Oreochromis niloticus: one gene and its partners. The protein of the gene in region 1 binds, or shares a complex with, the protein of each later gene. Links are inferred from orthologs where the notes say so. Each region holds a gene or a part of one and is shown in the gene's direction. Other genes may lie near its edges.

Region 1 (9,547 bases):
ATACATAAAGATCACTACTGCAGCAATTGTCACTAAAGGCAGAGAAACAAGTCAGAGCTATGCAGATCCAGTGTGCTACAGTGACACAGAGTCAAACTGAGACAGTGTGCAGCACTAACCTCTGTGGAACTGTGGTCTGTAGTGGAAGGTGGGGTTTCCCCGCTCAACAAGGAAGGTGGACAGGTTCCCACTGATCGCCACAGAAAACACCAGTGTGACACAAATCCAGAAGGGACCTGCGCAAACACACACTTATATGAGTGCATTCATCTTTTAATTCATCTTCTGTTAAAAAATTGACGGACACTTTGTGGATCCTTTGAAGCGATGAGTAGAACAAGAACACAAACTATGCAGGGAGTTTCTCACCAATCCGCAGATATTTAAAGTCAAAGAAAAGCCACCTATGGGCAACAAACAGTTAAAGGTGGAATTACAATAAGTGACACCTGAACAGCTTTTTAACATGTATCAGAAGTGCCTGAATCACATGAATTAACTGATACAGTCAATAAGATAAAGACCCTGAGACATTAAACATGTTTAGCATTAAAAAGAGACTTACCTTGGTGCAAACCAACAGTAATCTGGCCCTTAATCTCCTACCCACCTACAACTCATCTTCAGGGATAGCTAGAATCTAATTTCCCCTACCAAAAATCTACTTACCGCCTCGATCTGCCCCCCCATAACACAAGGCACAGTGCAAAATATGTTCTTCCTGCAATACAGTTTAATAATTAAATATTTTTGCTTCCACTTACCATACAGATCTGGGTTACTCCTAAGGTAGTATTTGATGAAGTTTCTTCCAGGCTGTGGCATCACTGACCCCTTCACTCTGTCCAGCACCTGCATCATGATAAGGTCAAACAAAAGAAACATGGAACTTCAAACTGACTGACAAAGACTTTACGTGTAGACAAAGTGTCAGGTAAATGTCAGGTATACCTGCATTGTGTCCACATTGAAGAAAGACTGATAGTACTCAAAGGTCCAGAAGCCACCACTTGGTTTCTGCCCTCCTAACAGCTGGAAGCACAGACGTCTATCAGCCAATATGCACTCAAAGTAGAAACTCAACCTTTATTCGTAGTCCACACAACGTTTTTACCTCTGAACTCTCTTGCTGACCCTCCTCGTCCTCAGATAGGTCTAGCTTTACATCTTCTCCTGCTGATGCTGTTGTGCTGGGGGTGTTTGAGCCTGACATACTGAGTGTGGAGGCTCCAGGGTCTGCCGATAGCAGCTCTGCTGCTTCTTCAAACTCTATGGATGCACATGGGCAAAAGGCAGTCGGTAAGCTCAGTTCTTCTGATCACCACTCCCAGAGGGATTAAATTCCCATAGACTTCATGTTAAAATGTCAAACTTTAAAGGATTAAAAAGCATATTTACAAACAGGTACTGAAAAAGCGATCTCAGTTTCTGTCTATAGTTTCCCGCTCTTGATGTCACTGAACCAGACTGGTCCTGTTTTAATGATATTATTTGACAAATAAAACAACTTCCTGCAAGAAGCGTCCATACCTTATTTCACTTTATTCAACAGCAGTGTTGTGCTGCTTTAGATTACACAGTGTTGGTATCAGCCTGTCTCACAGAGAGACAGACTTTCTGTTAAAGGTTTTAAAACACATATTTTATTGAATAAGATTAGAAAACAAGCAGGAAGAGAAGTTACCGACACACCATGAAGGTGTTTCAATAGCCATGCTAGCATGCCGTTTAGTAGGTCAGAGAAAAGACTTAGCATTTGACCAATGTTCCCTGTAAGCTGCGCACGTACGCAATTGCGCACTGCTGGCACGGTCTCTGCGCACAGAAAATCTGCGTTGCGCACAAAATAAAAAATCTAACCTGAATTGAAATTAAAATTAATACTTTAACAATTCTGTTTTGCAGTGTTAGTCAGTGACTGGCTGCTCCTGTATGGGATTAGAACGATGCCACCTTATCCTATAGTCCAGCCAATGATGCGATTCACATTCGTATATACGCAGCGAATCAACGTCGTTGACAGGCTATGACAGCGTCCTTATGTGCCGACACCGGTGTTTTAGCTAGCAAAGCGGCGTGGCTGATGTGGAGTGAAGCCACGTTAATGACAACATGTACAACCATTGGAGATGTGAGCAGGACAGACGGAACAATTGACGGAAAAAGTGTGGACTTTATACCAGTTTTTAAATTGTGTTGATAGGCCACGTAAAACCAGAGTTATGATAAAAATATTTGCAATGTTTGGTTTTCTTCCTGAATACTATCGTTGTTTATATTTACTGCGGGAAGAAACGGTAAAAACTGCGTTTTATAAGGAAAACCCTCGAAAGCACTCTCCACCTGTGAGCAAAACCAAAACCAAAAAACCCCCCACCCTTTCCTATTGGTCGAAAAAAGTACCGTGTCGACCAATCAAAAAATGATATGGCAACGTGGCATCTAGTTGTTAAGAAACGGGGGGAAGTTTTAGGAGTGACGGCGGTGTTCTGAGATGTGAGAGATTTGAGACGTTTAGCGCAAATCTTGTGTAGTTAGTGTGTAGTGTAGTCAATAGTTTTGTTGTGTGTGTCAGAACAATGAGGCGGCTGCTGAATGTTACAGGTGTTACAGGAGTGATACAGCTCCTGTTGTCAGGCCTGCAGGTATCAGGCTGGTGTTCTCCTTTATCTCATAGTGGACAGAAATTATTTTTTGGAGTGGCACAAATAATTTGTGTGGCATCAAATGCAGAACACCTGATTGTTCTGTAAATAGTTTGAAATGTTTGTTTAAAAGCGCATTGGCTGCATTTAAAAAAAAAAAAAAAAATAGTAGCTGCAAAAAACTTTGCAGCTACCCGACCACATACTCATACTCATAATACAAGTCAGAGCTTTATGTATATATATATATATATATATATATATATAAAAAAAGTTAAAAAGTTCAAGTTATTTTTAATTCCAATAGTGTTAACATACTGCACAGGTCAATGACTAGATTTTTTTTTCCTTTTCATTGTAAGTGGGCTAAAGCAGTTAATTAGTCTAACATAAATGTAAATGCTTTAATTTGATTATTTTAATAAACCATGTAACTTGGATGGATTCGATGCTGGCGTGACCACAGTGCACACGTCTGATGTCGCTCACAGTGGTCCAAGGGACCGCTCAAGGAGTTTGTGTGTTCGCTCAGACACATGAAAAATTAGAGGGAACATTGCATTTGACACAGTATACACTGGAACTCACTGTGTGTCATAAATCAGCAGGACGTTCAACTGCATCCATGCATATTATGCAAATGAAAACAAACATCATTTTTTGGCAAATCTGACCCATAATCCTCTGAGTAACCTACACATACAGACAGAGGGTCCAAGTACAAGGTGCAATGTTACATGTTGCATGAAAGTAAAAGAAAATGTATTACAAGGAAGCAGGAAGAGCGTCTTTACATACGACTGCAATAGTAGGGTATGGCAAGCAGATGTCGCTGTTTGTCCTTTAGTAGATGGTTTCAATCAATAATAATTTATTTTCAACAATGTTTTCACGCTGATTTCGTGATTCAGACTACTGTACTATGTGCTCTGCATGGTCACTGCAGTATAAACTCTTTTACAGCCAATTAAAACCCCTAGGCAGGGGCGGATCTAGAGAAATGTTCTTAGGGTGGCATGAGGGGGGCAAAGGAATCAAATGGGGTTGCAAAATCGAAGCCTTTGTTTTCAAACACATATGCAGGTGGTTACATATGGTTAAAATGATTAAAATGCAGTGTGTATACATGATTTTCATATAAAAAATAGTCTATAACTTAATTATTGTCTGTAGCCCACATAATTAAACAATTTAGTTACAAAAAACATGTGAGTTTTGATTTTATGTACTGTATAGCCTGTATAATAAATAAATAATGTAGCCCAGTAAGAATAAAATACAGAAAGCTACACAACATGGGGCGGTTCATTTACAAACATAAGTCTAACGTAAGTTTCACACTGTTTTTTGTTAGAAAAAAATCAAATCGTTACATGCTTAAATTACACAAAATGTCAGGAATCTGCACTGTCATGAACAAAAATTTAAACCTAATTTTTCATGATTTGTTGGATTAACCCTCTGATTTTACATTTGTATTTCACCCTAAATTGTTTCATTTTATTTTTTTCCCCTTGCCTTGTCTGGCACAATCATAAGCATTGGCTGAAAACAAGAAAAAAGCCGGTCCGCGCTATGGGCTGAACCATTTGTTAATAGTGGAGGGAGGTACCACTACGCAATATATTCAGTTTTAGCATTTATATTCACTGCTAACTGTAACTACGCTCAAAGTGTTAATGCTATTTTATTTTAATAAACAACACTGTCATATGCAAAACTAGGGTGGCAAGAGATCATTTTAGGTTGGCACATGCCACCCCATGCCACCCTTCTAGACCCGCCCCTGCCCCTAGGTGAGGGGAGAGTCCAGTTTTTTGATTCATGTGGACACTTAGTTTCAGCTTGGTTTCTGCATAAAACACAAGTGCAGCTCTGCCAAACACCCACCTTATTTGGAACTAACACGTGAAACAAAGAAACCCAGGCAGAACAAAACAAGCAGAAATTTACAACCGATATCTCCTTTAAAGATTCTGTCATATTTACCTTGAAACTGTAGGTTGTTTAGACTAGCCATGCCTTCAATGGACAACCTGTAACTTCATGCAAGAGCTGAGAGAAAAATGAACGTTAGTAAAGAAATGCTATGTTGAACATCTGTTAGTTCACCGACAAGGGAACCACATGAAGTTTACAGTTAATGTATAATATAAAAATATTAAATTCAACGCTTTAAAAAACGACAAGAAAAGGTGAAACGTACCAAAATGTAATAACCAGAGAGGTGAAATATGTCTTGACAGTCTGTCCTCGCTGCTCAGCAGGATCTTGCTGCTGATAATGATGATACTGAATGGCGTAATATCAACCACTCAGCAGAGACAGCTAATGCTACGACTAGCTAATATTTAAATTGTAAATAAAGCTAACTTTAATATATGACAACAGCGGACTTAATAAAATGCTAGACATTAATAACATTACAATACTAACACTTGTCTTTTACAGCCTTACAGGTCCTGCTGATACTGGAGTCAATTTAACACAGCTTCCGGTACACGTCACCACGTAAACAAAGCTGTCACGTGGAAGCGCTCTTCAAAATAACTTTATTTGAAAGGTTCTAACGTTACAAAAAACACAAGAGAGTGCTGGCACGGTGGAGCGGATGAAGATGAGTGTCAGGGGTGATTTGTGACAGGAGGATAGCAACAAAAACGACAGGAAGGGTTCACGCAAGGGAGTGAGACCCGCTATCATGTCTGGTGGAGTTGTCGGGTCGGTGGTCAGAAGTGAACATGGTAAGATTTTTGAGCAGTTTGGAGACGAAGTAAGAGAAGCAAGGTTGAGAAGAGTTTGATAGGGTGGATAATATATCGGACAAAGGATGCTGGTGGTGGAGCTGCACGCAAAAGGAAGGTGTAAGTGTAGTGACGGAGGACATAAAGAGGGTTGGTGAGACAGAAGAGCATGCAAGGGATTGGGGGTGATGGAAGCAGATGATCTATTCCGATGACCCATAAAGGGACCAGCTGGAATATAAAGAAGTAGTAGTAAAAGCATTAAAAGTATTTAAAATAAGAAATAAATGGCAGCAAAGATGGGCCACAGGGGCAAACTAAAGACATTCATAGACTATACAGGGAAAATGTACCAAAGCAAGGCAATAAGAAAAGGGAAAAATAATATTTTCTAGGTTGAGAATAGTTAAACAGGATTAACTGCATCTGCATATGCAACTATCAGGGAAATATAATTTGCTCAGTGCCAAAAGGAAAGGGGAACAGGGGAACAGTGCTGTTAAATAGGAAAGCTAGAGAAATTATCAAACTAAAACACAGAAACAAGGGGGTGTAGAAGATATTGGCAGTTATCGGAAAGAGTTATTAATGGTGGGACGGCAGCATTTTTCAGTTTTTAAAGAGAGACAGAAATTGTGAGCAGGGATGGAATGTAATTTATGGTAGCAGGATGTGTATTTGTAGGCTAATTCTTTCTGGAGTCTCGCACCACCACTCCAACCCAGTAGATGGCGGTAATTAAACCTTTTTGTTAGCTTTCAACCAAAAAAAAGAAGTAGCTGCCATTTTGACTTCATGTGAGGTCCCCCTTGATAGTTAAAATGTCAATTCTGCATGAAGGTTAGCGTCTTTAGTGCATAAAAGTCGTTAAAATGGCCTCGTCTCGTGTAGCGAGGATGATGTTCAGCTCTATGGCGGAAGCAGCGGCGCCTCCGGGCACAGCGAGCCGCTGGGAGCGGCTGAAAAACAGCAAAGTAGGTGAGAAACCGAGGCACGGGTTAGCCATGTTAGCTGGATAGCAAGGGGGTTAACGACCAGCTCGGTGGTAAACAGCTTATTCTTATATGGGCATATGTGATATAACAGAAACAGTCCCAGTTATTTTAATTGCTTAAATGACCATTTTAAACGCATTATTCTGCTAGTATTTGTGCATGTTGGTTGCTTGACAAAAACGGTTATACAGTATAGAGTTTTTTAATCCTCCTAACAACTATATGCCGCTGAATTGGGTTGTTGATGTGATAACATCATAAATAGATGGAGATTAGATCACCTGACTCCTCTCACCTTCTGCAGCTGGCCAGTGTTTTTTTTTTTTTTTTTTTTTTTATGGTAAAGGGTGTGAATGTAGAAAAGGAGGCATGAAGAGAGGTGGTTTACATCCAGGCTTAGGTTTTCCTCCTCTGCTCCCTACAGGTGTGTGGTGTCGCAGCCTGCTCTCTGACTACAAAGAAGCGTGCAGAGAGGCGGTAGTTGGCGCCTGGGAGAGGCCACTCCGAACATCAGTGTATGTGACGCTGTTGGGCGGTGCCTGGGCCTGCTTCTACACCAAACCTGACCGCTTGTCCTTCGACGACGCCCTGCTGAAACGTTCCAACCAGCTGGGACTGCTGTCCCCTTGGATCCGCAGCGGCATCTCTGATGTCCATGTACAGAGTCTGGTGAAGCTCCGTAACGAGGGCCGCCTCCGCCATGCCAGCCTGGGTCTTCTGTCTGTGGTGTACTACGCTGACTACGACCCAGACGCCATGCTGTACGAAGCCCAGTGCTCTAACTTGTCAGTACCCTGGAGGGAGATCCCTCAGCGGGTGTTGGACATTGGCTTTGCTGGCAACTGGTGGATCCTGGACTCAAAGATGAAGGACTATGACGTGAACGAGGATGAATTCAAGCATTTGCCAGCGCACATGCAGGTAACGTCACCACCCAGCGTTGAGGAGGTGGAAAGGAATGAGAAGTTGCACAGAGAGTCGTGGTTACCAGTGAGCGTGGAGGACAAGGGAGACAAAAACTAAAGTGGTAGACGGAAAGCAGAGTGAAGAGGAGCAACCTCGCACTTCACGCAGCAGGACAGAAGCCTGACTGTGTACACACACACACACACACACACACACATATCAGTCGCTGACCAAATGATGATTCTGCCACCGAGACAGAGGAAACAAAGTAAAAAGAAACACTTGAATTCTTTCTGACATGTTTTTGTTTTCTTACAGAAAATGTTGTATATCATTTATACTGTGAACCATGTGACAACGAATCTGTCAATTATTTACAGATGTTAAGGTGTAACATGTGATTTGCATTTGATCTGGATGTGACACACTGATATGAACTCTGGGTGATTATTAAAGACCTGTCATCACTAATCAGACTGACATGACTGTTGTGGATTTTGTGTGCAACTGTAGAGTTTTTGAAAGCACAAATCCTATTGTTGTATTTAAGTATAACAAAGATAAGGGAAAAGAACTGCACTGCTGCAAATACAACCTTTCCTCACATCTAGTTGCAGTAAAACTTGAGAATAGTAGCTATGAAACGTAACCATAACTGCTAATGACTAGAGGTGATAATAGATTCCCACTAAACAAAACTTTTATTGCAAAATCCTCAAGTCTGAAAAGTATTTTGTAGCAAAAAAAGTGAAGGTAAAACTGCAATGTAGTGAGGAGGTACAGAGCCATATAATTTGGAAATACAATGAACTGTATTTATAGTATTTGCATGTGTACAATTGGCTGTACGCTCTGGAACAAAACAGATGAAAATACACGGAGATAAAATTAAGTATGTGCTTATAAACGATTATTAGTCACACTATTAATATAAAAAAATGACTAGTATTTCTTCTCAGCTACCTGGTTATCCACACATAACCAAGCAATGTAGAGAGAAAAATGATTAAAACAAAAGGAAAAAAAAATGCAAAACTCAAGTGAATCTGAAGTCTTGGTGCTGTCTGTGAAACCTACAGTTAGGTCCATAGTGTCTCACTGTTTGCACTTCTTCACAGCTTCTGTTCCAGTGAGACCGTTTCTGTTGAGATCTTGGTGAAGAGTAAATTGTGTATCTCAGGTCCTTTGGCTCTTTGGGAATCACCTTTTTTGGTGCAAAAAATACAACTCTATGCCTGTCAAAATGCCCTCTCTGGCTTTTTTCATCAACTAAAGAAGCTGGAACTAATGATGTGTTTGAAAAAACTGCCTAAAGTTACAATTTAAAACTGGTTATTTGCTAAGTTGTCCCTTATATGTAAACACAATACTAGCTCACCTCTTGATTTTTGTTCCTTTTTTATGTTTGAATGATTTACAAGTCAGTGCTGAGTAGTTTACCAAACAAAAAACATTCATCTGAAAATGGTCAGATATAGGGCTGGATTAAACTGACTACTTTAAAAGTAGCCAGTGTTCAAAGAAAAACTTTGAAAGAGAATTAGGGTTCAAGCCCGCTCTGAAGTATTTTCAAGAAAGCCTTTTTTTTCAGAAATAGAATAGAAATGGGATAGTTCTTCCATAACACATCTCACTCATCTCAAGCACTTCTACATCAGTTTGCTTTTAATCTAATAATTACACTTCAATGAAGAAGGGATAAGCTTTTTCAGCATGTGGACTGAAGAGCCTAGGGATTGAACTACCAACGTAAAAATAAAATTGGCGATATTTGACAGAGTTTTCCAGCTCACACTGTGGACCATAAGTAAATAAAGAATTACTGTGTTTTAGACTCTACATAGGTGTAGTGGTGTTGTGGTCAGCACTATTGCTGCACAGTACAGAGGGCCTGGGTTTAAATCCAAGAGCCAGCTGGGGGCCTTCTGTGTTGTTTCTATGAACTCTCTCTAGCTGCTCAGACTTCTTCCCACAATCCAAAAAATTTGTTAAGTTACTGGGGAATTCTAAACAGACGATGTGAAGCCCTCTGCATTAATCCCATAACAAACTCACATTGGTGATATGGATGTAAACAGGTCTTAATGATATGTATCTAACACAACAGGACTTTGTATTCCTATGCACACCACACATTATCATCATAACCTGCACCTTATAATGCAATAACATTTATGTTGCTGATGAGGTTGTTTGCTGTGCAGCAATGCTGCCTGCACTGTCACATGGCAAATGCAATTACAGTACGTCTTAGCAG
Region 2 (11,067 bases), on another chromosome or scaffold:
AATGGTTTCCTATTCATCTTTCAAAAAGCCACAGACAGATGCTGAGGAACTCGAGCCTCCTCCCTCCCCTGTCCACCCATGCCCTGTTCAGAAACCAGAGATCCAGAACCTTCCACCTGCTGTAACCAGCTCTCCCACACAACCAGAACAACACCACAACACCACCTCTGAATCCCAGTCTTTATCCACCAGCTGCTTCACCTCAAACCCCAACAGTGAGGTTGAATCAGCGCCGGCGCCTCAGCCGCAGGGCTCTGTGGACGAGTGTGACGAGCAGATAGAGAAGCTGTTAGAGGACGTCATGATGAGCCTGAACATCCTGCCCAACTTTGAGGGTAACTGTAAGAAGTTGGAGTCGAGCCACAATGTTTGCCGAGTCCCAGTTTCACAGGGTGACGCAGCCCAGAGTCGGATGGATCCTGTTACCAGTGCAGCAGAGTGTGCTTTCTTCCAGGATTTGGAGTCACAAAGCAACCAGACGTCAGTGGATACAGGTAGAAGCTTTCTTTGTAAATACACATATATTTTTAATATCACATTATGAGGATAGTCGTGGCGGACCTGTGCTATGCTGCCTTTACCTGTAAGGTTTTTTTGTTTTCTGTATTTTTCTTCTTTTGATGAAGACTCCTCAGCATCTCTCCTCACTGCTCCACAGGCTCCACGGGTCTCATTTCTGGCCTGTTTTTCTATTTTTATTGTTTAATTGTGGCTAGCAAACAGTTTTTAGGTCCATTACTGCCACCTTCTGAGTGCAGTAGTGTATTACATCTTACCAGTATTGGGGTTGTTTTTTGTTTGTTTGTTTGTTTTTAAGTATTTTGAGACAAGACATTGATTAATTTTAGAATAGGGAGTCAAAAATCCTGACCACCCCTCACTGTGAGTGTACTGAAGTTTACTGTTCAGCTTTTAACATTTATTGGTGATTTTTGTGTTTGTTTAGTTACATTTTAACAACATGTAAAGCCTTAAAGTTTGTCTTTATTATTTTTTATACCTTGTTTCTTTGAGAAATGGCCATCATGAGTAACTGAAGCCACGCTGCATGTTTTGTCTGAAACCTCAAACAGTTCTTCGTTCCTTGGATTAAACTTTTTAGTGTTTCTGCAAAGAAAATGAATTTGAAGAATTAACTGAGAGTAGGGAGCAGGTGGAAGAGAGCCTGGACAGAAGAGAAATAAAAAAGTCAGTGGAAGCAAAAAAAGAATACATGTGTATGAATGAGAGGGAGACTGGTGTAACAGTGAATCTGCAAAGAGTAGAGGTAATGGGAGTAGAGCAGGTTTGTGGTTTGGAGATGGGGGGCTCTGACAAAAAAATGCAGGAGGTGGAGGTGGCACAGTTGAAGATGCTCAGATTTTATCTGGAAGTGAGTAGGAGGGACAGCTGAGGTTGAGCAGTTTGTAGACGACTGTTTTAGCCCAGACTTCTGTCCTTTTTTTCGATTTTAAAAAGGCAGATGTGTATTTTCAGAGAGTAACACAGTAGAACCTTTTTCTTTTTAAAAGCACATTAAATGTTACTACAGAAGCAAACTGTGTTGTACCCGACTTAAGTCTCAGTTCAGGCGCTCTCGCTGCTACCCATCCTGCTGCCCTTCTCAGTTTTCAGGAGCTTATTAATTGGTACTTTAGATTTTTTGTTTGTCACAGGTAATGTCTATAAAAATATAGGACTTATCATTCACATACAGTTCTTCTTTGGTAATTCAGGATGAACTGATAGTCATCTTCCCACTTGCTCTTTAGGTATCCATTGTTGTTTTGCAGGTCCAAACCAGCCCAAGTTAATCCAGCAGCAGCAGCCGCCGACTCTCCAGTGCAACTCAGCTGTCAGATCTTTATGGCAAATCGATGGATTGAGCTGCCAGGGTTTACCTCCATTCAAAAGGAAATATTCTCTGTATCCGGAAACACCCACAGGCTCAGTCCTGTCTTCAGCTTTCTTCACCAGAGGCCAGAAACTCCATTACCCAGCATTTCAGCCACCATCCTCACAAGATGATCAACACAGTCTCGAGTTTTTACCTCTGCCAAATGGAAATGGGACACAATCTGAACCCACTTTTTCCTCACCTTGCATGGATGACTTGCGTCTTCCTCAGCGTCTCTCCCCATTAGAGCCAAGCACATCTGCAGCTAAAGGTCAGCCTCTACTCAACAACTCGGCAAACCCCAAACAGGGTGTCCAGCAGCAGCCATCCTTACGTAGGAGACCCTGGCTCTCGGACAACGCTGGTTTACTGCAGTTTCCCTTTAGCAGCATCATTTGCATGGGTCATAAAAATACATCTCCGTCACCAGATCCAGATCACAGCTGTCAGTCAAAGCAAGAGCAGCAGGAGAAGGATTCACATCTAAAAAATGGAGGAACTAGTGCAGAAGGTTGCAAAGGGAATAGCTTGAAAGAGAGAGGAAAAAAATCAGCAGCAGAAGTAAAATCGTACTCCAGGAGGCTGAAGGAGAGTTTCAAATATAGACATGATGACACTACAGGAGACGGGAGGAAGAGAAGGCGCACAAATGATCAACAAGACTCCACCGGTTCTTGTTCTGCGTACAAAGATTTAAAAGTCAGTGATGGAACAAAGGATTGTTCAGTGAGTTTGTCGAGTAACAATGTGCTATTGAAGGAAAGAGAAGAGACTATCAGGTCTTCAAACGCACCATCTGGTCTTCCAGGGAAACCCAGTAAAATGTCGCCCGTCATTGACAATGGGGGAGAAAAACCCTTTGGCACCAAGCCGTCTCGGATCAGGACCAGGGCCTTTATAAAAAAATCTCAAGAGGCAGCAAATAACACAACCCCACCTGAAACGCCTTGCATTTTCAAGCCTGTTGTCAGCAGAGCTCGGCTTGTGAATCAGGATGGCGTCTTGCATGCGAAAAGGAAACGTGGTAGACCCCGAAAAATAAGACCTGTAGAGGAATCTTCAGAAAGTGTTCCTGCCATTGTTGAAAACAATGAAAATGGCGACAATGCGCAGGTTGACAGGAACTTGCCAAAAGAGCAGGAGGAGAAAAAAATGGAGAAGACGTGCAGAAAACGGAGGAGGAATGAGAGCGAGGTGGAGGTCAGCCCAGTGAAGAAGACTGCGAGTGTCGAGCACACTGAAAAGGCTGAAGAAATGAATGCCTGTGACGTAAAACCTGGGACAGTGAATCAGCGGCACATGGTCACTCTGAAGGACATTCAGAAGCTTATTAAATGGCAACACGCACGAAGGATGAAGTCCAAACAGACCCAGGAAACACATGAACCTGTAAAAGGCACAGATGGCATATTGAAGAAAGGAGCAGACATTAAAGACGGGACAAACTCTGAAGAACATCACAAAGGTTCAAACATCGCAGTTGATAAAAATCACAATCTTCTTTTGAGCCCGTCTGCAGAGACAAACGGCCGTATGAGCGAGAAGAGGAGTTTGGATGGTGATGAAGACCACCCGGTGTCCTTAGACGTTGTGGAGGAAGATGAAGCCAAGGTGACAACGGAGAGAGAGCGACCACTGGGAAGACCTGATGAAGGTACTTTGAATTTTGCTGTTTCTGTTGCCATGGTAAATTACTTGGATTTTGCTTTGAAGGTTGTTATTCAGAATGAATGATCACATTGGTAGTATTGATTTTTCTGCTCTATGCCAATCATATAGGCACCTCCGAGGATGGGTTGGCATAGTGTGCTGTGGCTTCAGGCCATTTGTCTCAGCAGACGTGTACTGTAGAAAACACAGACCACAAACTGTCATGGTGGAGCTAAGGCACAGTGTTTGTGTTGCCCCCATGTGGGCTAACTGGAAGCTGCACAGTCTCACTTCAAAAACCTTTTTTAAAGTAGATGCAGATTTAGACATATGAAAGAGAAAAAAATAATTAAAAAAACTGAAGGTCATTACAGTTTAAACCTTGCAGTAGAACAATTTTACTTTTTAATATTTTTTTTCTTTTTAAGTCTGCTCATAATTTCAGTGGCTGTTCAGACATCAGCCTTAATACGGCCATTTTTTAAAACGTGCTGTTGCACAATCCAGCGCATGAACAAAATGTACTTAAGTGCTGTTTGTCCTGCTGTCTGGTTGCACTGCACCTTCATTTCTCAGTGGCTCTACTACATATAAAAAAATCTACCTTGGAATGAGAATGCAGTGTTTTGTGTAGGAAACACTTTAAAATTCTCTCTGTAGGCATGTGTCCATGTTTGCTTTTGCTATCTAGTTTCTTCTTTTTCTTTCTTTTTTTTAATGTCCTCAGTTATCTGTCACAACAGTGAGATGGCACTCGAGCAGTTAAAGCATGCCATAAAGCTTTCTTTCCATTTGGCTGTGCAGGTTTCTGTCATCTACTAACTGTTATTTTCAAACTAACCACCTAACCCTGGTCCTTCCTGTGGAGGACCAAGACTAGGTGGCAGCCTGACCAGGTTGCTCTTGTGGCAGTCACCATAGATCAGGGGTGTCCAACTCCAGGCCTCAAGGGCCGGTGTCCTGCAGGTTTTAGATAGCACTCTGGGTCAGCACACCTGAATCAAATGATTAGTTCATTTCCAGGTCTCTGGAGAACGTAAAGAGATGTTGAGGAGGTAATTTCGCCATTTAAATCAGCTGTGATGGATAAAAGACACATCTAAAACCTGCAGGACATCGGCCCTCGAGGCCTGGAGTTCCCCACCCCTGGTCTAGGTGGATGGACTGTGAGATCAGTGGCCACTCGACTGAGATGATGCTGGTCAAAAGCTCACTGCTGGCTGTAGAGGCAGGTGATCAGTTATTTATCATCGGAAAGTGTGAGTATGCCTCTTTGTGCTTGCACACAAACATGCATGCACATGCCCCTGCTACCCTCACAGTCTCCTTCTATTTGGCACAGGGAAATCGGATACAACAGGGTCTCCATTCCTCAACGATGACTGCTCATCTCACAGTGACACCCTCCTGCCTGAAGAAAACACAGCTTTGGACTTGTTGCACCCCTTGACCGTGAAGATAACCAGTACAGACAAAAAGGGAAAAGAGGAGGAGGAAGAAGAGGTGGATGTCCTGGTTTGCTCCCCAGAAAAAGCACCTCAGACCAGAGAGTGTGAGGGGTTCCTCAACAACATAGACATGACTCCGAATGAAGATGAGGAAGATGATGTGAATGAGATTGACGTGACTGGAGACGAAGCAGAGTAACGTCATGTACGTGTGTGTATTTTTTACCCCGTCCAGTGGTCGGCTCTCACTCTAATGCTGTCTCTGTTCTGGTTGTATTTATGTTCACATGTCACATGAAGTTGCGTATAAAGATTCATTTTTACATTCTTCACTTCATGTTTGCACCACTTTGGGTTTTCGTTTAGTTCCTTGTGTATGCGGTTCAAAAAGATGTTTAATTTCCATTAATAATATGCTAAAGAAAAAGTTTACAATAAGTTTGTTTTGTCAATTTTATACATTTTACATTTTCAGCGAAATTGTCAGATGAATAGAGGAAAAGGCACTTGAGTGGCCTTCAGTGATGTCCCTCTGTATGTTTCCAATGTGGAAAAGATCTGTTGTTTTAAGTCTATATTTGTAAAAGTGTTTTATGTACATCAGTACATAATATAATTATGGTTTATTAAACGTTTTCATGTGACAGCCTGCTTTCTTTAAAAAGCACCATAGCTGAACACAAGAGGGCACTACAGAATATACACTCACTGGCCACATTATTAGTTACATCTTGCTAGAACTCTAATTGGCATAGATTTAACAAAGTGCTGGAAATATTCCTTTTCCATTTTGGTCCATATTGACATGACGGCATTGCATGTCACGGCTGCAGATTTATGAGCTACACATTTATAATGCAATACTTTGGATTGAGCTCTGGTATCTATGGAGGCCCTTTGAGTGTCTTGCTGGAAGCAGGCATCAGAAGATGGGTACACTGTGGTCATAAAGGGATGGACATGACACACAAAGCAAGGTCAATCTCTGCTTTTATGTTTTCACAAACTTCTTGACCAACCATCCAAATACTGCAGAAGAAATGGAGACGTACAATTGGGAAGCAGTTTTTCCACTCCCAAAACCAAGCATCCGGTGGTTATTTGAGTTACTGTTGCCTTCTCATCAGCTTGCAGCAGTCTGCCCATTTTCCTTTGTCGTCTGCCATCCACAATTAATTTTTACCCAGAGAACTGGTGCTCACTGGACATTTGATCTTTTTCTGATCTCTCTCTGTATTGGAACATCTCAGAAGATTCAAAACGTTTATTGTCATGTGTACAAAGAAAAGCATTTCTCTGTACGATGAAATTCTTTCTCTGCTGTCCACACACAGATGCTGGTTAATATGTACTAATAGATAAAATACAAATAGCATGAATAAATAAATGGAGACAGAAGTTTCAGAAATACAGAACAAACCAACTTCCTCATTCTGATTTGAACTTGAGCGTTTTTTTTTTTGTCCTTCATCTCCCTGTGAGGCTCTTATCTTACTTTGGAGAAATACACATTCAAACACACACCAGTAGAGGGCGCACTTCCTGCTCTCTCCGCTTTCTGCTTTTTGAATCCAACTTTATTGTCACCGGAAGTATGTGGAGGAAACGGTACACACGTGTTTTCGTGCAGGTTTGAAGGTTACTGAAGCAGCGGGTAGTGCTCCTTGCTTGCTGTCCGGAGGAGAGGCTCAGCGGGACGGCGTGTTTGTGGATCGAGACCCGGTGTGAGCAGAACTGAAGCGGAGCCATGGATCCTGTGAAGGCGCAGCAGCTGGCGGCGGAGCTGGAGGTGGAGATGATGGCTGACATGTACAACCGGTAAAGCCCAAACAAGCTAACCTCTCAGCTAGCCACAGCAGTCTGCTGTGAAGTGTGGCGGCTTTTATGTGTCAAACTTACATTTATTTACAGTGTGCCAGAATAATGTGCAAAGATAATTACTGTTTAGTGAAGCTGAGCCTGTAGAGCTCATCGTTAATGCGAGCAACACCTGATAAAGTCAGTGTCCTGCTAAAAAGCTCATTATTATAAAGGCCCACCAGCCGGCATGTTTAAGGCAAGGGGAGGCTTCTACTAAAGGGTGGCAAGGGTTAAATCCAGTGTATTTTAAAAAGAGCTATACTGACTAAAAATTAAAGACCTGAGTTAAGTGCTTAACTCACTGAATTTTCTTCACATAGCACAAATTACAGTATAGGCACAGTACGGCTGTTACTCATAATATAAAGATGTGTCCTCGTGTCATAACACAGTAATCTACTTAAATGCCGTCACTGGTGTAAGAGTAAGAGTGCATTCATTTATATGCCTATAGCTGCCCCCCGGTCATTGTCTTTGTTGTCTTTGTTGAAAAGCCCAAGTTATTTTCTATTTGCAAGAGAAGCATTGATAATGATTTGCTATGCGCCAGTGCACAGGTCAGTGATGAAATACATGTGTTGTAAATGTGGACCTAAAATGCAGCGCTCACAAAGGGTTTCTCTTTATCACGTCCACATATAGTTAAAGCAAATAGGCTGTGTTACCTGATGACAGGTGTGTGGATTTTAATGTTCTTTTTGGCTTACAAAAAAAACCTGACAAAAAACAAAAGAATTAATTTAAGCTTTTATTAAATTAAACCTCACTTTAAAATACCCCCAAAAAAACAGTTAAGTGATTTTGATCACAAGTATTTTTATACTTGGAAGAAACCTTTACAGCACAGACCTGCGTCTCTGAATGAAGAAAAAACTAGCCTGGTTAATATTTATCCTTTAACGACCTTGCACAAATTATACATTCATGTGCTTTTAATAAAGTCTTGCAGTTAAAGCCCACCGAGCCCGAGTCAGATTCAGTCAGTTGCCAAAGAAAATAGTTTTTGTATATTTTTTTCCAAGTGTGTTTGGCTTGAGAAAGATGAATAAATATACGTGAGCTATGAGTTATTGGTTTGTTCAACACAGAGCAACAAACAAGCAGTTCGCTTGCTTTACTTTTTTGACTGAGGTTTGATTGGCTCTTGGCTCTCTGTCATTTTGCTGGGATTTTCTTCTGCAGTAATTTGATGGCACCCAGTTTTTGACATCACTCCATAAACCAAATACTATTTTTTGTTTACATTTTGTGGATGGAAGTGAGCAATAATTCTATCAAATTCTAGTTAAAATTTTCTGAACATTCATATGATACCTGGCAACATCTTAGAGCCATTAAAGATGTCTTACTTGCCACCTGATTATTGCTTGCTCATACGTGATAATTCCCCTTTTGCCTTTAGCATAGATATAAAAAAATTGGTGGAAACATTCCTCAGAGATTTTGGTCTGTCTTGACGTGATGGCGTCACACAGTTGTTGGACATTGTCAGATGGGCCGTTCTGTTTAGTTGGCTCTGGTGGGCGAGGCATGTTATGTTTGTTTGTTATGTTTAGTATCTTTTCACAGGAAACATTTTGACATGTCAGTAAGTTGATAATGTTTCAGATTTGGGTTTTTTTTTTTGGTATCCCAATGCTGGCAATACTTTTACAAGTATGTTGTGTAAAATAATGTTTTTAACAGTTTAACTGTTTCTTGTAGTTCACCACAACAGTGACAGTAACTGGGTCTTTCGGGCAGTTAGAGGTGTTCGTGGCTTATCGTCAGCCTTGTTGCAGTTTTTTGAATTCTGGGGCAGGATGTGAAGAACCTAACCAATAATTTTAGTCGGGTTAAAGAAATAATCCACTGAAATGTAATTTATCAGAATTAGCAGTAAGGTCCTATCAGGTCACCACCCCTGTGTGTCCTAAGGCAAACGGTGATGGTGACCTGCAGAAGGACCTTAAGGCTTCTTCTGATGAGCATGGTGTTGTATTGAAAGACGTTTGGCTCGATGAAGTGCTTTTGGATAGACTCATTCAGCACCATGAAATGAGAGGTTGATGACTTTCATGTGAAATGTTTTTTGAGTTTGGTCTCTTTGTGAATCTCCTGCAGTGAAGAGGAACTGGGTTTAATGTCCGTCGGTGGTCATGTGGTGTTTGTTGGGCAAGGATGTATGAAATTCTGTCCTTGGGGCTTATCCCTGTGAAGACTTTGAGGACAAAGGAAGTAATTAGTTGCCATTTAACTTTTTGCTAGTTCTGGTTTGAAGTATATAATTAAACTGAATCTGTGTCCCTCCCTGCTCTGATGGAGGATCTGTGTCAAAACTGGGAAGCACATTTCTGCTGTGACATGAACCAGAATACATTTTATTTGCAGAAATTCTAAATGCTCTTCTTAAATGCACCTTTTCTTGACCTAAAAGTTGGTTAATTTAACATCTTTAAGAAAAGAAATAACTGTTATATCAGGTAATGTGAAAATATGAGTTTTAAAAGGAGAGTCTTTAAATTCAGAGCCAACTTTAGGTTCACAAAAACAACTCCAGCAGATGGCGCTGTTCTGTTTTACTAAGTGACTGTTGTAAGCAAGTCATAATGGGACCCCACAATAAGGTGCTTATGCATGAATACATCATCTAGCAACAAGTTTGTTATGTTTTAAAAATGTCTGTATCATCACTCTTAATACTGAAGAATCTTGACTGTTTCCTTCCTTTCCTCTCAGAATGACTAATGCCTGCCACAGGAAGTGCGTACCGCCACATTATAAGGAGGCAGAGCTGACCAAGGGTGAGTCAGTCTGCCTGGACCGCTGCGTGGCCAAATATCTGGACCTTCACGAGCGGCTAGGACGCAAGCTGACGGAGCTCTCCGTCCAGGACGAGGAAATGATGAGGAAGGCGGCTGTGGGGAGCGGATAGATGCTGATGAAGAAAAAGTGGAGAATGATGTGGGATCAAAAGGTCATGGGGATGGGGTTAGCATGTGTGGCTTCAAACAATGAGAGACTTGTATTTTAATTAAAGGGTGGGAAATTAAAAAAAATAAATAAAGTGTGAAGTTAATGCTGTCGAGGGTCCGCTGAGAGAAACTGCCTCTTCCTCAGAAACCTGGTGGATCAGCAGCATAAGGACACGTTGAAACTGCTCACAGTGGACCAGACACTCTGGATCTTTTCCACTTTCTGTATGTTGAGCCTGGACTCTGGAAGTCACCTGAAAATCTGACTGAAAAGGAGAAAGGCCTCTGACGCTTAACATCAGAAAGTTAGAAACCAGAAACCTGGTTACATGTGACAGGTCCAGACAAATGCAAAGAATCATTCAACTTTAATCTTTATGTCAATTCACCCTTTGAACTGGGGTCAGATTTTTCTTGTTTGGTTTTGGAAGGCACTGAAAGTAAATATAGACTCTTTGCAAAGCTGCAGTTCAACCCGTGGAACTAGTTTATTTACAGTTGTCTGTCATGCAGACATGTCAGTCCTGTGCAACACCTCAGAAACAGCGAATCATGGGTCAGGGCTTGCACAGAATTCATTATGGGCTGAGCCAAAATGTCTTTTTTGTACTATTCATGGTTTACTCTTTTGACCCTGGTTGGTTCTTTGTCATTAACAGCTCAGATAAAAAAATAACAATGCCTGAATTTTGCTCATTTTGTCATGCTTGTGTAGACTGTGTTGTGCTGTGTGTCAGTGGACCATGTTTTAGTGTGTGTGTCTCTTTTTCTTCATGTTTAAACCACAGTGACACAGCTTTTCATCTGCACCGCAAAGAAGCTGCACAGTGTGCTGTTAACTCTAATAAAGCGCTGTCATCATGTAGCCTAGCTTCATGAGTGTTGGAAGTATTTATTCTGGCCCTCACACGAGGTTTGTGGCATGGTTCGACTTCACTCTCACGCAGTATGTGGACAACAGAGTGTGTGTGAATGAATATACAGTAACTATAAGATGATATACAATGAAAGCTTGTGTGATTATTACAGATACAACACGATGTTTTTCTACATTTTGAAAAAAAAAAGGTTCCCAAATCTTTTGGATATATAATTTTTGTAATTTTGCTGCTGTACACCACCATCGAAGATCTATAGTTTATTGCAGTTGTTGAACTTCCGTTTGGTACTTGTTCACTGGAACTCTCAATATGAAAGCCGATGAGATGTTAATGCAAGTGGAGGAGGCTATTATTGAACTGAAAAAAACAGACTAAACCTATTGGAGAGCTAAAAAAAA
Region 3 (10,058 bases), on another chromosome or scaffold:
CAGCCCACTGAAGAAACGGACTGGCTGGGAGGTCAGTTGCGTCATCATAATTACGCAAATTCCCATGACCATTGATCAACAACCACTGATCAAAGGCCACTGATCTGAGTTGGGGAATGGCTGCAATCACAGCATTGTAAGGGTGAGGGGAAAAAAAAAAAAAAAAAATCAACTGAGGAAGAATCACCACTGGAGACTCTAAAGCAGGGGTCCCCAATCCCAGTCCACGAGGGCCGATGTCCCTGCAGGTTTTAGATCTCACCCTGGGTCCACACACCTGAATCACATGATTAGTTCATTACCAGGCCTCTGGAGAACTTCAAGACATGTTGGGCGTTTATCAATATGCGTACTTGTGCGTACTTGCGTTCTCGTGTACTCGTGATACGTCATCAGTCGGAGACCAAGTACTGTTCCAATTCGAAGTATGCATCAAGCCGAGAACGCGAAAAAGTCCCGGATGTGTTCTCGATCCGCCCGTTTTATCGAGCATGCATTGGTGTGGACTTGGGACAGCTATATATCCCAGAATGCATTTCGTCCAAAACTCAACAGCGGACTCCCGGCACATCGTTTTCAACCCCACCCCCCCGCTCGTGGACTTCTCACTACTCAGGTCAAAGAAACCCCAGCAGCTGTCTATAGTATTGAGTGTCCACTAGAATAGAAATAAAAGCGTTCTAACATCTCACCTGCTTGTTTTTATTACGGTATGTACACGTATGTACAATTTTTATTAATAGAGGTTTCACTACTGAGGTTAAAAATGATATATAAGTCACTTAGATCACTTCTAAATGTTAATGTTTGGTTTATTTCAGTGTTTTATTTGTTCCTGAGTAAACCGGTTTGGCTGTGATTACAGCTAAGCTTCATAACATGTTACTCACAGTTAAATTAGGAGGGGACGGCAGTAAAAACTCCGGACCTGTGACATCATCACGTACGCAGGTGTTCCAATTATACATATCGCGAGTCCGTGCTCGCGTTCTCGGCGGGTACGTACTCCCGTGCGTTCTCGGCGAGTACGTACTCACCAAGAACGCGAGTACGTACTCGCGTACTTGGGCATTGATAAACGGCCGTTGAGAAGGTAATTTATCCATTTAAATCAGCTGTGATGGATCAAGGACACATCTAAAACCTGCAGGGACACCGGCCCTCGTGGACTGGGATTCGGGACCTCTGCTCTAAAGAGTTCCAAGTACCTCTACTGCAAAGATGGCAACCCTATTATTCTGTCTTTTTTCTGGCTTGAAACTATCTTGCATGCACTGATCAGACAACATTAAAACCCCCAGCCTAATATGTGCCCTCATTGTGAGAGCACACAAGCTCTGACCCATTACAATATGTACATGACCTCTGTGGTGTTTGGCACTGGGATGTTGGCAGCAGATCCTCTGTGTCCTGTGAGTTGCCGGGTGGCACTTCTGTGGACTGGACTTCTTCCAACACATCCCACAGATGATCAATGGGATTGCAAAGTGTGGATAGTGGAGATAGGGTCACTGCTTCAGACTCCTTGTTATGGCCCTCATGCCTAATTCCTGATCAAGTTATTGACTGTTACAGGGAATGTTAACCACGAGGAGGGCGTGTGCTTGATCTGTTATCATGTTGAAGTGGGTGTATGAGTGAGCGTAATATCCAGGTGAATCCCAGGACCAGAGTTTACCCAGGGATGGATTACACCCACTTCACCTGCAGTTTTAATGCTGTGGCTGATCTGTGTGTATCGCAGATTGAGAAAAGGCAGGAACCAATTTCATCAGTTAATGTTCAGAAATTAAAAACCTGATGTATCCACTTTAGAATGCGCTACTGTCTGACTGCCCATCATGCTGCTGACATATGATCGACATCCAATAGAGTTTCTTTGTGTCCTGAACACAGACCAATGAAGTATTTCCCCTTCTTGGATGGTTAACCATGAGAAGCAAAGCCTTCAATTACCTAAAAACAAACCTCACCAGGGCTGGTGCAGTTCTTATGTTTGAACTGGCTTTTCTGTTTGCATACTCAAAAGAGAAAACTGTCATTTGTTCACTTGTCACAGGACTATAAAGTGAGCCGTGCAATTAAAATATGTATTTGGCTTCTTAATTTTTCCTCTCTTTTCATTACTGAAATGTTCTCTTTTGCTGAAGTTTATTATTCAGGCATAATTATGTTAGATACTCGGCGGGTTTCTGGAACCCATCTTTTAAGTCTACATTTAAAGGTTACCTGGTGAGAGAAAAATTACACATAGAAGCTTAGTCAGGATAATTTGTCATAATGAAACATTTAAGGATCTACTAAAGTCAAAACCAACAAACGTTTTACAAGTACCTGCAAGAAAACACAAAGACATGTTTGACAGCTTCACACAGAACTCCTCTAATTGGGAACAACTGGCTGGCTGATGACGTGTAGAAAAACAGCTTGCAGCACACAGAGGCAGTTTTGAAGGCAATTTGCCATTAGCATCAAAATTTACTTAAAGCCTGAGCAACATTAGTAACTTTATCTCTGCATTTTTCAGGTTTCTGTCAGGGAGCAGTGTTAGACAAACACTAAAAAACAAAACTAAAATCTAACAGGAAACCAGGACCTGACTGACCTCTCTTAGCAGGGGTTTTAAGACTAACCTGGGGTTACTTTCCACTTTACAAGAGGATAAGCTTATTCCACTGCTAGATATTTATATCAGACACATTGTACACCAAAAAAATAAATACAGACCAAAGAAAAGATTTTAAGCGTAATATTCAGACCAGTTTAAAGAAGTTGACCCGTTCTTCCTTAAGGAGGAAACTTACAAAGTGTTACATTATCAGGCATCAACACTATCACCGCGTTAATACCTTTTATTTGAATGTTTATAAAGAAGGCATAAATACTGCTCAAGCAGAATCCTGTTGGACTCGCGATGGTGCAACCTTAGCCAGTAAACTGAAAAATTCAGGATGGACATTTGCGGCTGCGGAAAATGGGACATGAAATGCAGCGTTAGTGGTGTTAGTCCACTTACTGTTGGCCATCACTGCAGTCATACAGTGCCACGCTCAATTAGCGTGAATACAACACGTCCTTGGCTCGGGCTATAATTTTATGACAGCCGTTATTATCGTTTGAGGAAAAACGCGTCTGCTCTCACAATGACTAAGTCGTTACGTTAAAGGAGCATAGACGTGTACAGTGACTATGCTGGCAATGAGCATGTTACCGTCAGCCACTTCTACGTTGGTGTAACTCGGCGAAACCCGAGCGACTCTCTGTGGCCCATTCTTTAATTTAGACACCGAGAAACAGTAGAGCCTTTACAGTGAAGTTTACAAATTTCACCCCAAACAACGGACGAAAAAAGCAGAAAGGCCACAGGCTATGAGAAATAAACAAGTGTTAATTAATCTCACCTGTTCCGTACTGCGGTGGAGCTGCTGTGTTGACAGGATGCTGACGCCTCGCGCAGGTCTCACCACCGGCAGTCTGAGCTCGAGCCGATAGGTGGAGCGCGTGAAGCGAGTCTGGCGCATATGCTTTGGCGCAGTGTTTAAGGGGTTTCTGGGAAATGTGGTCTTTTTTTTTTTAACAGGACAGAAAAATGATAAGACAGCATGTAAGGAACAGCGTTTTCGCCTCAGGTGTAAACTTATTTAGTCAATTTAATTTGTACTGCACCTTTGTTTGAAGTTTAGTGTGCTTCAAAGTGCTTCACAGATGAGTGACAGGCGAAACAGATAAACTGTAATAAATAAAAAAATAATACAATAAAGACAGGAGTATTGAATAAAGAAAACAGACATCAATAATAAAAAAATATATTAATGATAAAATAAACAAAAATAAAAGTAATTTAGAAGACATTAATATAATAAAACCGAATAAAATGTAAAGTAATCAATAAGATCTAGTATAATCTTGCGAAATTCTGTTATGTTATCTAATTATTATTTTATACAATAATCCAGTGGAAACAATGTAGGTAGACCAAGGGCGTAGATTTGGTTTTGGCATTGGTGGGGACGGGTGTTTCAACCACCGAACCCCGCCCTGTTTCTTTTTTTTTCCTTTTCGTCTTTGTTTCTTGATAAAAAAAAAGGAGAAATATACTTGCCTACATATGCTATTCTACATGCTATTAAACCATTTAAAATTACAATTCATAGTTTTATATGTGAATTATATAATGTTAAATTACTACTAAACAAATGACTAAGTATTTTAGACTTTAGTTTACTTTGATTTTATTCCACATCAATCAGGTATCATACAAAAATAAAAATAGCTTCAAATACAGTCAAGACAATAAAAGAATATAACTTTAAGGACTTAAATGTGGGATGGAGAGATTTCGCAGGTCTTTCCTCCCCACTGCTGTCAGACTCCACAACAAAGACTTTTGCAGCTGATCAAACACACACATGTGCAATAAGACGTTGTAAGTTGTATTTTTACTCAGTTGTATATAACATTTGTATTCTATTTTTATCCTAATGTATATTTTATTCTATTTTATTCTATTCTGTACAGTTGTGTACAGTATATTATACTTATTGTATTCTAATTTTTGCTATATAACTTTGCACTGCCCACTTTCTGCTGTGACAAAACAAATATACCACGTGTAGGAATAATAAAGGTAATCTTATCTTATCTTAACACGATTACTTGAGTTATAGTACACCAACTTCTCTTATACATTAGCACTAAGGGAACACTAAATGAACTGGTGGTTTTTGTCGATAAAACTCATCTAAGATGACCACAAAATTATTATTCTGTGCTTGATGTGCCTCACCTTTGGCCCTGGCTTTTCCCCTCTGACTGCACTAGGACATATTGCCTCTTGATAAAATAACACATTGATTCGTGCCATATAAAAAGTGAGACATATCAATTCAGATTCTTTGTCAAATCTACACTAATCAATCAATTTACATCAGCAGCCTAACAATTGTAGTGCAAACTGCACTACAAGGTGGAATATTTGCAAAATCATGACTACCTCATGATATTTTGTCTCAAAAATTAACCCTATGAATATGTCAGTGCCACTAGGATGAAATTATTGTGTCACCAACATTTTAACGTAGAGACATATAATTCTAACAGCCTCTGTAAACTAATATCCTGGCTTGCTCGAGGCTGCCGTTTTCTCTGACAGTTTCAATCAAAATTAGAAATGTTGCTCTGAGACTGAGATAACTAATAGTGCTGCCAGTTGTGCAGTTAGTTTCCAAAACACGTAATTCATGGTTGCATACAATTTTAGACTGATGTGGGCCAAAGCCTAGCATAGCTTGTAACGTTATTATGATGGACACATTTTATGAGTGAGCCTGGCTTTAAGTGACTTAGAGGTTTCTTTGAAAAATACTTTCTTATATGCACGTTCTTCCTCTTTGCTACCGTCCTCCTCTCAGCGCAGGCTTGCCGCTGCTGAAACTAAACAGAGCTCCCTGAAAGGCTCAGCCAATCACATTGGCCATATTTGTCACATGAGGTCGGACTCCAGTAGAGAACGTAATTTAACTCTTTCTGCACCGCTGGGTGACTGAGACGCTGACAAATCTTTTTTTTTCTTTCTATCGGGTTTGGGGGGTTTTTAGAAGAAGCGATCAAATTATTGGTGGGGACATGTCCCCTCCGTCCATGCCAAATCGACGCCCTTGAGGTAGACTAAGGGTTACGCACGCAAAGCATAAACTCCTCAAACACACTTTAAGTACAGGTTGACTTTGTGTCGAATGTGCTAAAATTAACCAAAGTAATCTTTTAGTGAGAGAATAAAACCATTTTTATAAAAAATAAATGAGAATACACACTATTATTATTTAACCTATCGTGGTTTGTTCGTGTTTTTGTGAAGCTAAACACTTTAATTACCGTTATTTCTATCAGCAGACAAATGGGACGAATATGCGCGCGCTCGTCTTTCGACGACATTTACTTGAAGCTCTGTCATTGAGAAACATGGCGGCCTCCACGAGAGCTGCAAATGCTGCTGCTTCCAACCCACAAGGTCCAGCTTCGGTCGGCCCGAGCGTGGACAGCCCGACTCTTCAGTACAGTATGATTCTGGAGCATCTTATCGGTGACAAGAGGCCCGTGAAGGACCTGAACCCCGCCGTGATGGGGGGGCTGCCCGTGCCTCCGAAAAGCGACGAGCAGAAGATGATCGAGAGGGGAATGGAGAGCTGCGCCTTCAAGTCTTTGCTGGCCTGTGTGGGAGGTAAACGGAGACATTGAGAGTGTAACAAACATCACAAGGGTTTGGTGTTTTTGTGCGTGTTTGGCTGCTCGTGCAGAATATTTCGTGTGCTAGGTCACCTCAGATATACTAGGCTATGGGAGCTGTAATGCTATTATACCAATAAATAGCAAATTAATCAGTCACCTGATCAAACCAATCAGTCATCGATATTGTCTTGTCTTAAGATTATGTATTTGTGTTCAGACATAAGAAACGTGAAAGCAACATTTTAGAGCTTTTTGAATAAACAGGTATCAAATAATCAGTTTATAATAAAGCCACAATGTTGCCCAAATGCCAATCAGCTCAATAGCAGAAAAGATCTGTATATATTACAATTTTAAAAGTCTGATGATGTTTTTGCTCACCACAGGGTTCGTCCTTGGAGGAGCTTTCGGTGTTTTCACAGCTGGAATTGATACTAATGTTGGCATCGACCCCAAAGACCCTTTGAGAACTCCAACAGCACGAGAGGTTCTAAAAGACATGGGCCAGAGGGGGATGTCCTATGCCAAGAACTTTGCCATTGTGGGCGCCATGTTCTCCTGTACAGAGTGCATCATAGAATCAGTAGGTCACAGCATCTTACATCCTCCTGTGGGGTCTGACAGACTCATAGTGGATATATAACCTCACACTGGAGCTTAGAACAAAAGGCAAAAATGAGCAAAGGCGATTAATTTTCAATGTATCCACCAGTCTCTTTAGAATAATAAGGAATGAATGAAATAATGATAACAGTTTGTCAACAAGGGTTTGAAATGTAATGTGAATCCATAACATGGCTTCAAAGAGGAAAAATTCTCAATATGTGGTCAGATTACTAGAGCACTGTCAGAATCACTGAAGACATATTATATATGTGGACAGCAAATCAATTTCAGCAAAGTAGTTGCAACTTACGCTAAGTTTGTAAATGTGCAAATAGTACAGGAAAGGTAGATGCCAGCTATCTCTTATTAGTCACTCCTCTTTCTAAAATGTAGATGCCAGTATTATATTTGCTTTGCATTTCTTGCTTTTATTCTATCCCTGCAGTACACTGTGGTAATAACTGTCTTTTTTGTACCTGTTTTTCATTTACAGCACAGAGGCAAATCTGACTGGAAGAATGCTGTGTACAGTGGTTGTGTGACTGGAGGAGCTATTGGCTTTCGTGGTATGTAACTTACTTTATTAACTAACAGTTTGCATTACAACAAATTTATGCATTTTGTCCACGTGTTTATTTTTCTGTTTTGCAGCTGGTCTGAAGGCTGGTGTTCTGGGATGTGGAGGCTTTGCTGCATTCTCTGCTGCAATTGAATATTACTTGCGGTGAAGTTCTATGGAGTGGCTCGATGGACAAAAACATAAATATTACACATGTGTACCAGAGAAAGAAGATTCGCACTGTGAGCTTGCTAACCCTGATGTTTCCCTGCACATCAAGGATTGCTGTTAAAGCAGAATTGAAGTGTACTGTTCAAACACAGGGATGTTAAGTGGCACCACAGTGGGCTAAAGAAAACAAACAAACAAACAAAAGACATGTCTGTTTTTCCTGTGACTTTCATATTGTGGACAGTTGGAGCAAGGAATGCCAGTTTCTTATGGTGAATCTTCAAAAACAGAGCAGAGTGGGTCTGCTTCAGTGGCGTACTGATCAGGTGATGAATGCTAAACTTGTGTGAACTTGACTCTGGGTCTGTAAAAACTCAGATGAGCACTCTTCTGTAAAACATTGGTTTGTTGTGTAAGTAACTAAGTAAGTAACTAATCCACACCAGGATTATTTATAATAAAAGCATTTTTTTTAAATTGTGGATTTACTACTTACTACTAGGTCCCAGGCTGTTGTGGCTGTGTAAGGTTCTTCCACATATTCCACAAAAATAAATACATAATTTTGGCGAGGGAAAAGATGTACTTACTTTTTCTGTACTCCAGCCTCAGTAACTTTCACACAGTAACATCTGGTGTAATATTTACACCTCTGATGAAATCTCACAAGTGTTAGCTTTATTTTGATATCACGATTGTTTATACAGAGTTTGTAATTGCAGAGAAATACTCAATTTTTGGGGGGCATGTCATTTTCAAGCAGGAAGCTCAGAAAGCCCTTTGCGTCTTAACAGGTTAATTAGGCCTCTGATATTTATTTATGCTAATTTATAGTTAAGTTAATGGAAGAAAAATTAAAGCTTAGTCTACTGTTAGCATATTTATTTGAAAGGGCATTGTGTTACTTTGTTTACATAGTAGGATATAGATCACAGTTCTTCGTCAGTGCAGCATTTTCTGTAAACTCAGTAAAGGTCTGTGGCTGAATGTAGTGCAGTAACCACCAGAGGGAGCAGCATGTGTCAAATGTCAAATTTCCAAATGTTGCTCTGGATGGGAGACACTATTGATATTGTGAATGATTTAAAGACATTGTATAAACAGAATAAATTTCAGTGATGGCAGAATCATGGAGATGACAAAATGAAGCACTATTTTAATCAATTAAAATCTTATACTCCTGTTTTTAGGAATACAATACTATCTTAAAGCATAGACATACAAAATGAGAGCATTTTGATTTTTTTTTTAAGAGGGATGGAGGTTAACGTAGATATTTAGCCTCAACGTTACAATATATTCCCCACAAATCAAAGTCAAACATTTTATTCATTTTATATAGCATCAGGCCGGGGTCTTTCTGTGTGGAGTTTGCATGTTCTCCCCGTGTTTGCGTGGGTTCCCTCCGGGTACTCCGGCTTCCTCCCACCGTCCAAAGACATGCAGCTTGTGGGGATAGGTTAATTGGATAATCGAAATTGTCACTAGGTGTGAATGTGCGAGTGAATGTGAGTGTGAATGGTTGTCTGTCCCTGTGTGTTGGCCCTGCGACAGACTGGCGACCTGTCCAAGGTGTACCCCGCCTCTCGCCCTATGACAGCTGGGATAGGCTCCAGCGCCCCCGCGACCCTGAAAAAGATAAGTGGAAGCGAATGGATGGATGAATGGATAGTTTTAATCTGGAAACAAAAAACAGGAGTAAAAACAATAATCTATTACTCCTAAAACAGTAACAGTCATAATATTCATCTAGCAGTGCATATAGTATTTTTACAACTGCAAGCACTGCTGGAAATGTTACCTCACACACTCAGTTAGGTGTGCTTATGTCCACATCACTATCCAGCAACATTTGTCACCAACAAATGGACACCACTGGAAAGAGAGACAGAAACAGCTGCTAAACATTTTCCCACCCTTTTTTCCTAGAATTCTATGATTTCTTCCAAAATCATGCTCACATTCCCACTGCTACCCCGTTTAGTAATTATAAGCTTTGTTCGATTGTCACCATGTAATGTATTATGATAAAGTCAGGCACAGTTTGTTTGCAGAAGTGGTTAAAAGATAGGTTACCAAATCGTTAGAAGGTACTAAACAAAGTGATGGTAATTTATCTGAGAATACTGTTACAGATATATGCTGGTTATTGAATGCTTTCTCCAACATTAATTGATTATCTGACATTACTACTTCCTGCCATGCAGATGAAAAACAAAACACTTTCTGTGTGAGGTGCTGGGCCATGCCCAGAAGTTCTATCTATGGATAGGAACATAGCTGAAATTTAACATAGTACATCTACTCAAGTACAGATTTACTTTATTTATTTGTTTCTATGTTATGCTACCTTTTGCTTCTACTTCAGTGTTGTATGGATATACTTTGGCTCCATCCCATTTATGTTAAGATGTGAATTACTTATTATTTTTCACATATTAAACATACTTACTAATAACAGTTGCATATGATGCTGTTTCACTGTATATAAAGC

Evidence for each region.
Region 2: the proteins of timm29 (region 1) and timm10 are in contact, whole or in part, in a cryo-EM structure (PDB 7CGP), measured with the Homo sapiens proteins. The link is inferred for Oreochromis niloticus from reciprocal best matches to the Homo sapiens genes TIMM29 and TIMM10. Residues at the interface, in NP_612367.1 of Homo sapiens: Asp181, Asp183, Ile184, Asp186, Phe189, Leu192, Leu196, Arg197, Val199, Gln203, Leu204, Ser206, Asn209, Glu210, Leu212, Phe213, Asp214; in NP_036588.1 of Homo sapiens: His30, Arg31, Lys32, Cys33, Pro35, Pro36, Leu43, Ser44, Lys45, Gly46, Glu47, Ser48, Val49, Arg53.
Region 3: timm29 (region 1) and timm22 share a complex: the UniProt entries of both Homo sapiens proteins name them as parts of the TIM22 complex. The link is inferred for Oreochromis niloticus from reciprocal best matches to the Homo sapiens genes TIMM29 and TIMM22.

What each region holds. Positions count from the first base shown.
Region 1 is NC_031969.2:3,552,524-3,562,070, forward strand, and holds timm29 (mitochondrial import inner membrane translocase subunit Tim29), read left to right. Parts: upstream 1-6,150; 5' UTR 6,151-6,261; coding exon 6,262-6,367; intron 6,368-6,808; coding exon 6,809-7,407; 3' UTR 7,408-7,766; downstream 7,767-9,547. Other genes in the region: protein YIPF2, read right to left, coding at 1-32, 120-236, 765-852, 952-1,032, 1,115-1,269, 4,635-4,665. UniProt on the Homo sapiens protein: Component of the TIM22 complex, a complex that mediates the import and insertion of multi-pass transmembrane proteins into the mitochondrial inner membrane.
Region 2 is NC_031971.2:36,377,338-36,388,404, reverse strand, and holds timm10 (mitochondrial import inner membrane translocase subunit Tim10), read left to right. Parts: upstream 1-6,559; 5' UTR 6,560-6,721; coding exon 6,722-6,792; intron 6,793-9,552; coding exon 9,553-9,748; 3' UTR 9,749-10,658; downstream 10,659-11,067. Other genes in the region: uncharacterized protein LOC102082595, read left to right, coding at 29-494, 1,752-3,530, 4,639-4,785, 4,869-5,173.
Region 3 is NC_031975.2:6,099,852-6,109,909, reverse strand, and holds timm22 (mitochondrial import inner membrane translocase subunit Tim22), read left to right. Parts: upstream 1-5,897; 5' UTR 5,898-5,907; coding exon 5,908-6,220; intron 6,221-6,614; coding exon 6,615-6,811; intron 6,812-7,327; coding exon 7,328-7,400; intron 7,401-7,485; coding exon 7,486-7,562; 3' UTR 7,563-8,143; downstream 8,144-10,058. UniProt on the Homo sapiens protein: Essential core component of the TIM22 complex, a complex that mediates the import and insertion of multi-pass transmembrane proteins into the mitochondrial inner membrane. In the TIM22 complex, it constitutes the voltage-activated and signal-gated channel.